Linked DNA regions of Cricetulus griseus. The protein of the gene in region 3 purifies or fractionates together with the protein of the main gene of each other region. This does not show direct contact. Links are inferred from orthologs where the notes say so. Each region holds a gene or a part of one and is shown on either strand. Other genes may lie near its edges.

What was found.
Region 1: the proteins of Clcn5 (region 3) and Tmem9b purify together in Homo sapiens (co-immunoprecipitation; 3 studies listed by BioGRID and IntAct, counting the BioPlex papers as one, with this or other methods). This does not show direct contact. The link is inferred for Cricetulus griseus from reciprocal best matches to the Homo sapiens genes CLCN5 and TMEM9B.
Region 2: the proteins of Clcn5 (region 3) and Tmem9 purify together in Homo sapiens (co-immunoprecipitation; 3 studies listed by BioGRID and IntAct, with this or other methods). This does not show direct contact. The link is inferred for Cricetulus griseus from reciprocal best matches to the Homo sapiens genes CLCN5 and TMEM9.

What each region holds. Positions count from the first base shown.
Region 1 is NC_048596.1:90,968,656-90,972,886, reverse strand, and holds the start of Tmem9b (transmembrane protein 9B), read right to left. Parts: upstream 2,821-4,231; 5' UTR 2,731-2,820; coding exon 2,623-2,730; intron 687-2,622; coding exon 595-686; intron 1-594. Other genes in the region: Nrip3 (nuclear receptor-interacting protein 3), read right to left, coding at 2,827-3,097, 3,189-3,304, 3,373-3,430. UniProt on the Homo sapiens protein: Enhances production of pro-inflammatory cytokines induced by TNF, IL1B, and TLR ligands. Has a role in TNF activation of both the NF-kappaB and MAPK pathways.
Region 2 is NC_048598.1:53,257,770-53,262,061, forward strand, and holds the start of Tmem9 (transmembrane protein 9), read right to left. Parts: upstream 2,923-4,292; 5' UTR 2,837-2,922; intron 2,811-2,836; exon of another isoform or gene 2,673-2,810; intron 2,418-2,672; 5' UTR 2,382-2,417; coding exon 2,307-2,381; intron 1,344-2,306; coding exon 1,252-1,343; intron 1-1,251. UniProt on the Homo sapiens protein: Transmembrane protein that binds to and facilitates the assembly of lysosomal proton-transporting V-type ATPase (v-ATPase), resulting in enhanced lysosomal acidification and trafficking.
Region 3 is NC_048604.1:113,634,788-113,638,432, forward strand, and holds part of Clcn5 (H(+)/Cl(-) exchange transporter 5), read right to left. Parts: intron 2,970-3,645; coding exon 2,763-2,969; intron 1-2,762. UniProt on the Homo sapiens protein: Proton-coupled chloride transporter. Functions as antiport system and exchanges chloride ions against protons. Important for normal acidification of the endosome lumen. May play an important role in renal tubular function.

The DNA.
Region 1 (4,231 bases), on a different chromosome or scaffold from region 3:
GCAAATCCCAGACCAAAACAACCCCCTACTCCCAGCAAAAAAAAAAAAATTGTATGAGTTGTAAAAACTATAAACCAGCAGCTGGAGAGAGGGCTTGGTAGTTAAGAGTGCTGGCTACTGTCGTAGAGGACTGGAGTTCATTTGCCAGCACCCAAGTTTGTCATCTTACAAACACCTGTAACACCAGCTCCAGGGAATTCAATACCCTCTTCTGGTCTCCACAGACACTCACACATGTGTGCCTGAACACATACAAAATTTTTAAAGTGCTTAAAAAGTCTCAACTTACCTTTCACTGAGAAGTAAGAGTAAGAGTAAGTTTAAGAGGGCACAAGACAGTAGCTATTGGTAGTTTAGGCACAATAAACTCAGTCCCATCTCCATATGAAACCTCCTAGCCTAGAGCTTCCTGTCTGGGCTACAGTATTCCTGTAGTTTTGTATCATGCACTCAGGACCCTAGTCTCATTTTAAAGAAATAGAACTTGACATTTTTGCGTAAAAACTAAATGAAACAATGTATGAATATTCTGAGTTAACAGTAAAAACCACAGATAGAAACGTGACAGGTGATTTCTTGACCCATAATACTTACCAATCTTTCTGGGATATGTTCTTATTATAAATATGCCCGGGGTTCTCTTTATAGGGAGGGCAGATACACTTACACCTCACGTCTTCAAAATTCTGTAACGAAAATGAAAGCATAACTTGTTTATAGTGTATCATCAATATTTAAAAAAAAACATCTGCACAATACACTTCGACAAGTATCCTGTCAGGTATTCTAAAACCATCATAAAGATCCTTAAAGCCCACAAGACCTGGTGTGTGTTTTATTCAACACATTTATGAATCCCATGACAACCAAATTGTGTTGTCATCTACCTGCCACTAGAAAGACACGAAGAGAAATGCTGATACAAAAGGACTGGGGAGAATTAAAATAAAAATTATTTACAAGCACACCATAATTCCAGGCTGAGGGTGGATGTGGCTCAGTGCTAAGGCATATACAGCACACACAAGGCCAATTCAATCTGCATGCAACAAAAGTGGGGGGAAGCCAGAATTCTACTAACTTCATTGTTTCTAACTTTTTTCCTTTTGGGAGAAAGGCATTGAGCATGGATAAAAGGGGCTTCGCTAGCTATAGACAGGATGAAGATTCAGGGGCACTCAGTCAGTGCTAGGAGGGTAGTCCAAAGGGAAAGTAGCTTTAATCTTGCCAAACCTTGCTAATGCCCCTTCCCCCCAGTTAACAGGAGGACAACTCCTAGCAAAACAAGTTTCATCAAGCAGAGAAAGCAGACATTAAATGCTGGACAGGGCCAAGACATGCTTTCTCAGCAAAGGGGTGTTTATTTGAGAAGGCAGTGGCTCATTATTCCCCAGAGAGACTTGTCCACTGTCCCTACGTACAATGAAATGTCTGGCAGAGCTGTTGGCAATTCCTAAATGTATTTGGCCACCACAGTGCCAGACCCTGTGTTCAATGAGGACGACTCAGAAAAACAAGAGGCGTGGCTCCTGTTTACTGGAACAAATCCTATCAAGGGGAGATAGACAAATGCATGTATTATGTATATCATGATACACTACATAAAATGGTCATGTATGACATCCAGGCAGAGGGTTCCAACAATATTACAAAAGTTGGGAGACTTTCTGCTGTGCCTATTTCTGGTGATATCAGAAAGATTGAAAAAAAAACTCACCAAAAACATCTGCCTTCCTGTAACCTGTCTTTCCCAGCCCTTTATAATATTTAAAGATATTATAAAACTCCTCTTTTAAAAATGCAGTGTCATTTACATCACCACACCTATTTTTGTCCCAAAATGAGTTAGCTCACTGGGAAGAAAGCACATGTTTCTTGGGCCATGGCAGCTCTGGGACACCAGATAACAACATGAGGGGACCAGAATGGTTAAGAAACACAAAAAGGGAAAGGACACAATCTCTCCTCTTTCCTAGGCTGGTTCTTCCCTTATCAGAAGAGGGAGGGAGGGTGGTAGGTCGGTGTGTGTGTGTGTGTGTGTGTGTGTGTGTGTGTGTGTGTGTGTGTGTGTGTGTGTGTGTGTGTGTGTGTGTGTGTGTGTGTTCGTTTCTGGAGGTGAGAGTATCAGGCTGGTGAGATAACTCTGTAGGTCCTCCTGGGAAGGGGTGGTTGCCACGAGAGGCGAGCCCCCACCATGGCAATGGAATCTGCTCATGGATTAGTCGAGAGGAGCTAGTCCCTAGTAGGGAAGACTTCATGAAGGTGAGGATTTCCCATGATTTGAGTTGGGGCCTGCGGGCTGGTGAAGGGCCGGAGTGGGCCACCGGAGTTTAAGGGTGGAAAGTTCAAAGCTCCCAGGGCTGGAAAGCTCCTCAAGTTCCGGGTGTGTGCTGTCGGGGATAGGAAGGGAAATGTCAGGAGGTGGAGGAGGAGTTGCAGACCCGGCTCCGGGGACTGTCAGGGGTTGAGCTCTGGGCAGGGCTGGTCGGGGCTGTGAAGCAGCGGCTCTGGCTGTCGGATTAGGAGAACCCGGGAGTGGGGAGCAAGTGGGCAGCCCCGGTATCAGCCAGGCCAGAGGCAGGGGCGGAGCTCCTGTCAGGAGCCTGGCGGGGCGGGACTCACCTTGGCGGCGCCTGTCAGCTGCGGTAACAGCAGCACGGACAGCGCCAGGCAGGACAGGCTGAGCCCCGAGCCCAGCCGCAGCAGGCCTCCGTGCCACAGACTTGCCATCGCGGGAGCCAGCCGCCCCAGCGAGCCCCGAGCCCCGCTCCCGGCTCGGGATCCAGCTCGGGATCCTCCGCCCGCACTTCCGCCTGGGCCTGCGCGTCACCGTCCGCGCCGGGTCAGCTGCGAGAAAGCCTCCGCCCCGGAAACGGTTCCGGGTGCGTCGGGCCTGCCGCGGCCGCTGCCACCGCCACCGCCACCGTCACCGCCACCGCCACCGTCACCGGGCTGCACTACAGTCTGGGGTCTGTCCCGGTCGGGGCTGGCTAGCCCTGCTGCTCCGGGGAGTAGGTCACGCAGGCCGAGTCCTGCAGGCTGGGTGAGCCCCATCCCCGGGAACTGCCGAGGCCGAGAGGGTGCTGCGCGTGGAGCCCTGGCCGGGAGTAGTGGCCGAGCGTTCGGAGCTCCCAAGCCCACCCGGAGGCGGAGAGTCGGAGCTCTCGTTCCCGGGCTTTGAGACTAACCTGCGCTCCGTGCGCCTCTTGGATTCAGCTCCCTGCAGGACCTCCAACAGTCGCTGTGGGCTGCCTACGTGGGTGTGGCTTCCACTAAGGGCTGACCTCCTTGGTGCAGCTTGGGGCTGGGAAGAGGGCCACGACTGTGGAGCTGGGCTGGCTCAACTTGGGCTCCGCTACATATGGACCGCACCGGTAGCATCCCCGCGCCCCCAGAACTACTGGAGGTGGAGAATCCAGGCACTAAGCTCCTGTGAGGCAAGACATATTTAAACCAGCCGACCCCTCAGTTCTGGGAGCACTGACCCTACTCTTTGAGGTTTCTTCTGCTGGTACTTTAGGAGCATCCTAGAGAGGACACAGTGCCTCTAATTTTATACATATATGTGTGTATACATATATGTGTATATATAATATATATGTACTTATAAACTACACACACACACATACATACATACATACATACATACATACATACATACATATATATTAGAGGGGGTAGTGGAAAGGATGCAGCATGCTCATCACAACCCTTAGGTATTTGCTGAATGTCATCAGGAAAATCACTTCCCTTCAATAAGAGGGAATTGAATTCTATGAATTTCAAAATCTATTCCCAAAGATAACCATTTTTTTAAAAGTGGTCCTTTCCTAGTTGGTGAAAATGTTTTATTTACTGGGTACAATTTTCTCAGTATTTTTCTACTGTATGTTTCTTGTTGATGCTAGACGAGAACCTAGCACAAACTACTATAACATTAAATATACTTAGCTCTTTTTAGTCCTAATGGCAACTGTCCTGGAGCGATATCAGCAGGACTGGATGCTTTTTCGCCAGTTCTTGTGAAGATGCTGTCACATCAGGGATAATTCAAGTCCTTCTAAGTGGTGTCCTGCTGATCGCAGGACTGTCAGTATGAAATTTGTTGGTGAGGCACTGTGGATCTGATTGCTAAAAGCTGACCTAAGTAGCCAATTTGGATCAGCTTGGAACTGTAAGTTTGACATCTAAAAGGAATGTGTGCTCTTGAGATAAAGCATAGGAACCCTCC
Region 2 (4,292 bases), on a different chromosome or scaffold from region 3:
GGGATCTGATGCCTTCTTTTGGCCTCCACAGGCACTGTATACACATAGTGACCTGACAAGTGGGCAAACACATCCACCAATACATAAATATATACATAAAAATTAAGAAAGTAAACCAAAGTACAGTGGGGATTAAGTAATCTAAATCACGATGAACAAATGAAAAAGCTAGACTTGGGTCCAGAAAAGTTGGATCCAGAGTCTAAACATGCACAAACACTGGCTTTCAGAAAATTCAACTGCTACGAATCTGAAAACTCTCAAATGTGCTCTGGATCAATGGCATCATGAGCACCTCAAGGACTCCAAGCAAAGGTTACTCTTCTGACAGATGCTACCATATTTGCTGAATCAAAATCTTGGCAGGAGACTGTCGGAACTGCAAATTTTCTTAAAGCGCACCTAGTGATTCCCTGATGCACAGGTAGTAGCAACCTTGGCCCCCACCCCCATTCACTGCATACACCTTGACCTTACCCCGTGATGTCTTCAAGGATGAAGCTTCCCATCCTTCCAGCACTGGCAATGTTTCCCTCACTCACACTGAGGCTGACTCCCTGAAGCTGTCATCCCATCCACTGGCCTTCCGTCTACACTATGTGATCATCCCAAGCCTTCGTGGTTCCAATCCCAAATGCCCCTTCCCCTCAGCAGCTGTTCTCCCAATCTTGAACATTCACGGAATGTCCCCAGGTCTCTCCCTTTTCAGGGAGATTCTAGCTCCTTAAACTATTCCTTCTAGAACACAGTATTTATTCTTCCTTTCACCTTCACATTCTTTACCTGAATGCATTCTTGGTTATTTGTGCTTTTTTAAGTAAGGGGCTAAGAAATGAATTCAAGACCAGAGACACAAGGAGCACAACGTAAGATCTTTGTTTGGACCTGAGTCTATGCAATTATAAAATGGGAACAGCATCTACTCTATTTACATTAGAAGGTTGCTATGAAACCAGCAAAGCACACAGGTTTGCAAAAGTACCGAGGTATATACTATGTACACCTGCCCCTCCCACTTATCTACCACCACTCTTCACATCAACTGAAATCGAAAACAAAATCCAACACTGCCCCCCCCAAGCTGTAATTCAAGATCCCTGGGTTTTGTTATCAAATGGTTAAGGACAAAATATTCTTTTGCAGGCACTCCACAGAAATGGGTAATTTATCTCTAGAATAGGAAGTCTAGGAAAGCCCTGATCATTTCAGCCAGGTGATTGTGCCAAGGGCCAGCCATTTACACTGCCTTACCAGTCCTTCTGAGACACATTCTGGTTGTAAATGTGCCCACTGATGTTTCTGTAAGGTGGACAAATGCATTTGCACCGGATATCCTCAGAGCTCTGGAAGAAAGACAAAGAGTAAATAGCAGGAAAGACCCTGCCTGGGTTCAGATTCTGGGCAGGCTAGCACACTTCAGTTTTGTGTCCTGTTCTGTGAGGTACATATGTATGCTTTTGAATTTTCCCATCCCCAATTCAAGGAGGACTATCTCTATAGGAAGGCTGCCACATCACAGGGGCCTCAAGATAGGAACCTCTCTGGTATCAAAAGAAACAGAAGTTGCCTGAGGCAGGACATACAGCAAGCAAAGTGACAGGCCTCAACCCTGAGGCCCACACTTGTGTATTTTCTGTCTGGTGGGGTAGGTGGGCCAGAATTCCCCCCAAATCTGTCTTAACTCCCTAGGTTAGGATGGAGGAAGGGTTGAATAAAGAAAAGTGGGTGTTTCCATGGGCAGGCTCCCTCCAGGAATTCCTTCAGGGCAAAGAAGCAAGCCCTGCTACTCAATATCTTGGTGACCCTCAGAATCTAAAGCCATAGGACCTCTGTTACAAAGAGAGAGCATCCAAACCCAGCTGCTGGTCCTCCAGCCCTAAGGAATGGGAGCAATCTCAGGAGTGTACCACGAAGCTGTGTCAGCTGGAAGCAGAAACCACCATCTGTGCATGCCTTTACACTCAGAGAGCACTTTACAACGTTATGTGATTTGATTATCCCCAAATAGAGCAGCAGATTCGAACACAGCTGTTTTTACTTAGGGCAAAGGAAGACATGGAGAACTTGGGTAACTGCTCTAAACAAACTTTCTTGCTTGTGGGGAATTCCGCCGAGGGCCAGTCTGGTCTGAAACCTGTGCGGTGTGGTGCTCCAAACCCTGTGTTCCCTACACCCCTAGGGAAGGCCTGCAGCTTGCCCCAGGTAAGGTCCTCCAAGTGTGGTCCTCGGGTGGGTGAGGGGCAAAGAGTGGTGCTGCTAAAGCCCCGCAGGCCCGGTGCTAGAGCAACAAGGTGCTGCTGGCTCACCTCCCTCACCTTGTTGGCTTGAGCTGGGGGCACCAGCAAGCTCCCCACCACAGCCACCAAACACAGCAGCTTCATGCTTATCAGGCTTGCTGAGCCAGCAAGACTAGACGCCTAGGGGGATAAAAAGAAACATGGAGTCGGAAGAAGGGAAGGTGGTCACAACACAGCTCGGCCCCATTACAGCTTTGCCAGACGACGCAAGGGGGCTGAGTTCCAGGATTCCTGGGCCTTCTAAACCTTTCGCTCCCCAAGTCCAGCTCTCAGGAGCTTCCCGTGCACGAGCAGCGGGAGTCTTCTGGGGTTACAGCCTCCCGGAGCCCCCAGATCCCGTCACCAGCAGGCCCCGCTCCTACCCTCGCCTCCCACCTCTCTGCCTCCACTGCCCCCGTAGCGCCGCTCGGGACCAACGAAAAGCCCCGATTCCGACTGCCAAGGGCACTGCACACCCTGCCTAAGGATTTGGGGCGGCCGGGAACCCCCAGTGTCCCTGCGACCCCCGGCACCCCTCCCCCAAAGCGCGGTCCACCAACCTGCAAGCTCCGCCGCAGCCTCCACAGACCAGCAAGCCCCACCCCTCCAGTTTCTATTGGCTGCTAGAGCCGCCGCTCAGCCCAACCTCGCTAGTCGTCAAGACAACAAGTCCCACCTTCGCCTGGTCCTGGAGGCTCCCACTCTAGGGAGAGGAAGACATTTCTCTACCAGGACCTAGCAAGAAAAGGGACTGTCTGCCTTTCCTACAGAGAACCGAAGATCTATCTCGGAGGGTCCTGCCAACTCCTCCCAGAGTGCTTTGTTCTTCCTCGCGTTATACTATCTTCCTGTTTCAGGGAAAGCCTTTTGGAAATGAAGCTAGTAACAACAATAACAATTTAAAAACAAGATCAAGGTTGATTGTGCTTATTTACAGTCTGAAAATATTTAAAGAGCCACATGTTTTACAGGGAACTAAAGGACCCAGTCACTATTACCCCCCCCCCCCCCCACACACACACACTAAGACAACAACCTAGGGAGAATAAAACAGGGTTAGTAGGTGTGGTCTGCAGGGGGCTGTGCCTCATTAGCCTACACTGGCTCTAAAGACCTGGCAAATTGAGACAGTGCAGCAAAGTGCAGTCATCAGAGCCCAGGGCCACTACAGTGAGGACAATTGAGCTTTGGCCTCAGTCCTTCAGGGAAGAAATCACCTGTGTTACCCCAGAGACCACGCCTTCCCTCTCTGGGTACCAGTTTCTTTAGCTAAGAGTCTCTTAGGCTTTAAGGGATTGGGGTTCCTGGATGGAGGGATAGTCGCATGACCAGAATGTAATTTAGCAAGGAGAACCATGTGCCACAGAAGAGTTTTCCTCCCCTGGCATATTATTGTGTCGGGTCCTATGCTAGACACGCAGGCTGTTTAGGGGAGGGTGGAGGCAAACCTTGACTCTGCTCTTGTAGAACTTAAACACCACAAAGAAAACAATGTTTAACCAGCTGTTACAATTTAGGATAGTAAGAGCTTTGTTGTTGGGAAAAAAAGAATGCAATAGCTAGTGGGAAAGTTAGACCACGAGCCAGGAGAGCCCAGGATGGCGGTGAAGCTTTGATGGTAAGGTAGCAAGGAGCTCTCTGAGCTGTCAGAGTGTGATAAGAATACCAGCATGGCTATCAAAGGTCCCTGTGCTACTGCCAGAACCTGTGACTGTGTTACCTTGTAGCAGACTTTGGGCCACCAGCTCACAAAAACATAACAATACAGAGACTTACTATTAATTATGAAATCTTGGTCTTAGCTTAGGCTTGTCCCCCTAGCTCTTATAATTTAAATTAACCCATTTATTTTCATCTGTGTTCTGTGGTGTGGCTCTTTACTTCATCTCTCTGTACCGTCCATGCTGTTTCCTCCATGTCTGGCTGGAGACTCCACTTTTCTTCTTCCCAGAATCCTCTCTGTCCCCAGAAGTTCTGCCTAACCTTTTCCTGCCTAGTTACTGGCCATTCAGCTCC
Region 3 (3,645 bases):
GGCAAACCATCTAGGGAAATTAAGGGGAAGGAAAAGGATATAAATCTCTGGTGCTAACCTTGAGAGCTTGGACAAGTCAGAGCTCAAAAGGCTGTCATTTGAGAAGGTCAGGGAATCTAAAATTCAACCCATAAACAGGGATATTTCACTGGGTATGTTTAGGATGAAACTGGAGGGGGAAACTTAAGTTTTACATTTGAGGATGGAATCTCTGCCCCCCCCTGTCCAACTCAGATCTGCTCATAAGGCCACTGGTTACAAACATGTGCTGCTATTGACAAGTACAAAACAATGTAACTTTCACAAGGCTCTGGGACTGAGGCCCAGCATGACAGAAAGAAACACTAGGATATCTAAGTTAAAGCAAAACGACTAAAAATCCAGATGGTCAGATAAATGTCGGGCAAGTTCAGACAAACATTTCAACTTCTAAAAGGAATCCAGTTTCAAACTCAACTCTATCGGTGCAAAGGCAGCAACCAACACTTATTCTTGCCCTTTAGAATGGTTTTCTTTTCAGTTAGCTGACTTGGTACATGTTATTGCTGATAAACAACTTCTCTAATTTAGCACAGCTTCTGTGTCCTTCTCCCACATGACACTCTACTAGCATGCCCCTCCGCCACTCCTGCTTGCTCTCCTCCCCTTTCTGACTGCTCCAGGAACTTTTCCCCGTTTAGTGGAAACTTTATCCCTCACTTAAAACCTCAGCATTTTCAGTTTCCAGAGCCTCCGCTTAATCTTTTTGCTGTCGTTATTTTCAGGAGAAACCACTGGATTCCAGTTTTACAAGAGGTTCTTTCTAATAAAATGATCTAGGCCTTGACCTATTCCGCCTGTGACTTTTAGGCCATTCAAGGAAAATAAAACAAGAACCACTGCTTCCTTAGGTTAATAATTATAGCAAGATAAAAGGAACCAATGACTTAGGACAATTTTTTAAAAACTATTCTTCCTTCTTGGTGGATGGGGGGGTAGAAGGGAGATGGGAGATGGAATGAGAAGAGAGGGGGAGGGAAAACTGATCAGTATATAAAATAAATGAAAAAAATAATCTAAAAAAATTTAAATTAAAAAGAAAAATATTCTTCCTCCTCAAAATAGTATACATTAACAACTGGATGTATTTGAGCTGGAGTATAAGCACAGTGTGCTAGTTTGAAAGAAATGGCCCCCAAAGGCAGTGGCACTATTAGGAGGTGTGGCTTTGTTGGAGTATGTGTGGCCTTGTTGGAGGAAGTGTGTGTGTGGGGGGAGCTTTGAAGCTCATTTGCTCAACCTTCATTCAGTGTGACACTTCACTTCCTCTTGCCTGCAAGATGTAGAACTCTCAGCTACCTCTCCAGCACCATATCTGCCTGCACACTGCCATGCTCTCTGTCATGATGATAATACACTGAACCTCTGAACTTTAAGCGCACCACCCCAATTAAATATTCTCCTTTATAAGAATTGCTGTGGTCATCGTGTCTCTTCACAGCCCTAGAAACCCTAAGGGGTTGGAGAGATGGCTCAGAGGTTAAGAGCACTGACTGCTCTTCCAAAGGACCTGGGTTCAATTCCCAGCAACCACAAGGTGGCTCACAATCATCTATAATGAGATCTGGTGCCCTCTTCTGGCCTGCAGACATATATGCTGGCAGAACACTGTATATGTAATAAAGAAATAAATCTTAAAAAAAAACAAATCAAACAACAACAACAAAAACCCTAACTAAAACATACAGTGATGCTACAGTAGAAAGAATTTAGATGGACTGAAGCAAGAGGCAGGCAGAGAGAGGTGTAATACAGGGAGAAACTAATTCAAGTGGCATTTAATAACAATAAAAGATGAAAACCTGCCATTTGAAATACTGTTTATATTTACTCATACACAACAAGTCCCTCAAAGTCTATTATTTTCTATAGTTTCTTTTTAAGAAGTGACACATAAAAATAAAATAAAAATTCAAGTCCTCACTTCTCCTTTCCTACTGCCTTATTATCCCACCTAACACAAAGTGCATGCTTTTCACAGTTTAGAATAAAATTATTCCCAGATATTTTGGGGTTTTATATATTCATCTTCATGTATGCAGGTATGCAAGTGTACAGATGCATGTATGTGCAAGAGAGGCCAGAGGTCAACCTCAAGTGTTGTTCCTCAGGCACTATCCACTTTGTTTGTTGAGACAGTGTCTTTCATTGGCCTGGTACTGGGCTAGCAGCCAAGGCTGGCTGGGCATTGAGACCCAGAGATCAGCCTGTCCCTCCCAAGCACTGGGATTATAAGTATGTACCACTTTAAAAGAATAGGTTCTTGGACGTTTGTAAGGTAAGTACTTTACTGACTGAGCCACCACACCAGCCCTAGACATTTTCTTCCTAAATGCAAAGACATACATTTACTGGTTATCCCATAAACAGTAGTCACAAACTAGCTGTAGTGTTCTGTTGTCAGCAGTCCATGTCAATTTATTTTGGGCTATCTCATTCTTTTAAATGGTTGCACAGTTGCCTATGATATGAGCAGAACAGTTTTTTTAAATCAAGGCCTTATTTGATGGACATTTTGCTTTTACAATGTTAAGTTTGTGTTGACTATCCTTAGATACCTGTGCATATACACATACTAGCGTGGCTATAAAACAGACTCCTAGAACTGAACCTGCTGAACCAAAAGCTAGTTGAATTCACAAGGATGAAATCCCCAAATTCTCACCACTAAGATCATCTCTGCTCATGAGTAAAAATAAACTATTAAGGTCAAATGTCATTACCTCTCTGCGCTTGGCTTCATTCTTCCTGTACTTGTTGAAGCAGTGACACAAGATGTTCCCACAGCAGCAAGCCACGTGCACTAGGGGGCCCTCTTTGCCCAGGCTCAAGCCAGATGACACTGCCAGCACCAAAGTGATAGTTTTGATGACAAGGGTCCACTTACCCAAATAACCCCTAATAATGAAACCACTCAGGATAGTTTTTATCTGCAGGCCAAACACAGAAAGATTAAATACAGACTAAGTAAATAAACAAAGCTGAAAAGCTAAAATCTGCACCCCTTTACAATAACTCCTCAACAAGTGACATATAATATATATATATATATATATATATATATATATATATATATTACATATACTTGTCCCATGAGGGATCTCAGAATAGGAAAGACCTAGGAAAGCCAGAAGTATTTTTGCAAACTTCCATGAACTTTTGGGGAGTAAAGGGCCATGTGACAGTTGGAAAGAGGATGAGAGTGTAAGAGTGAGAGTGTGTGGATGGAGAAACAGAAGCAGTTGAGGAGGAACAGGTATTTCCACCGGTTATAAAATATTCTGAGAATAAGGTCAGTGTTCACGAAACAGCCTGAAAGAGTAAGTACAGCCTGGAATATTTGCCAAAGAACATTGTGACTATTACTGAGGAGCAAGGCCATCTTGATAACCTAAAATTGACATTGCTTGAGTAAAACAATCTAAGCCCCAAATAGATAGGAAAGGAGTTCGGGCCATCATCTCCCCTCTTCTAGGCCAAATTCTGTGACCCAGGCTGAGAGGAGACTTAAAGGAAAATCTAGTTGGAGCTTAGATACCCTCTGGCTCTGATCCTGATTGATAGTCACCAAGCTGTAGTATATATGCAGGAATACACAGAAAAGTT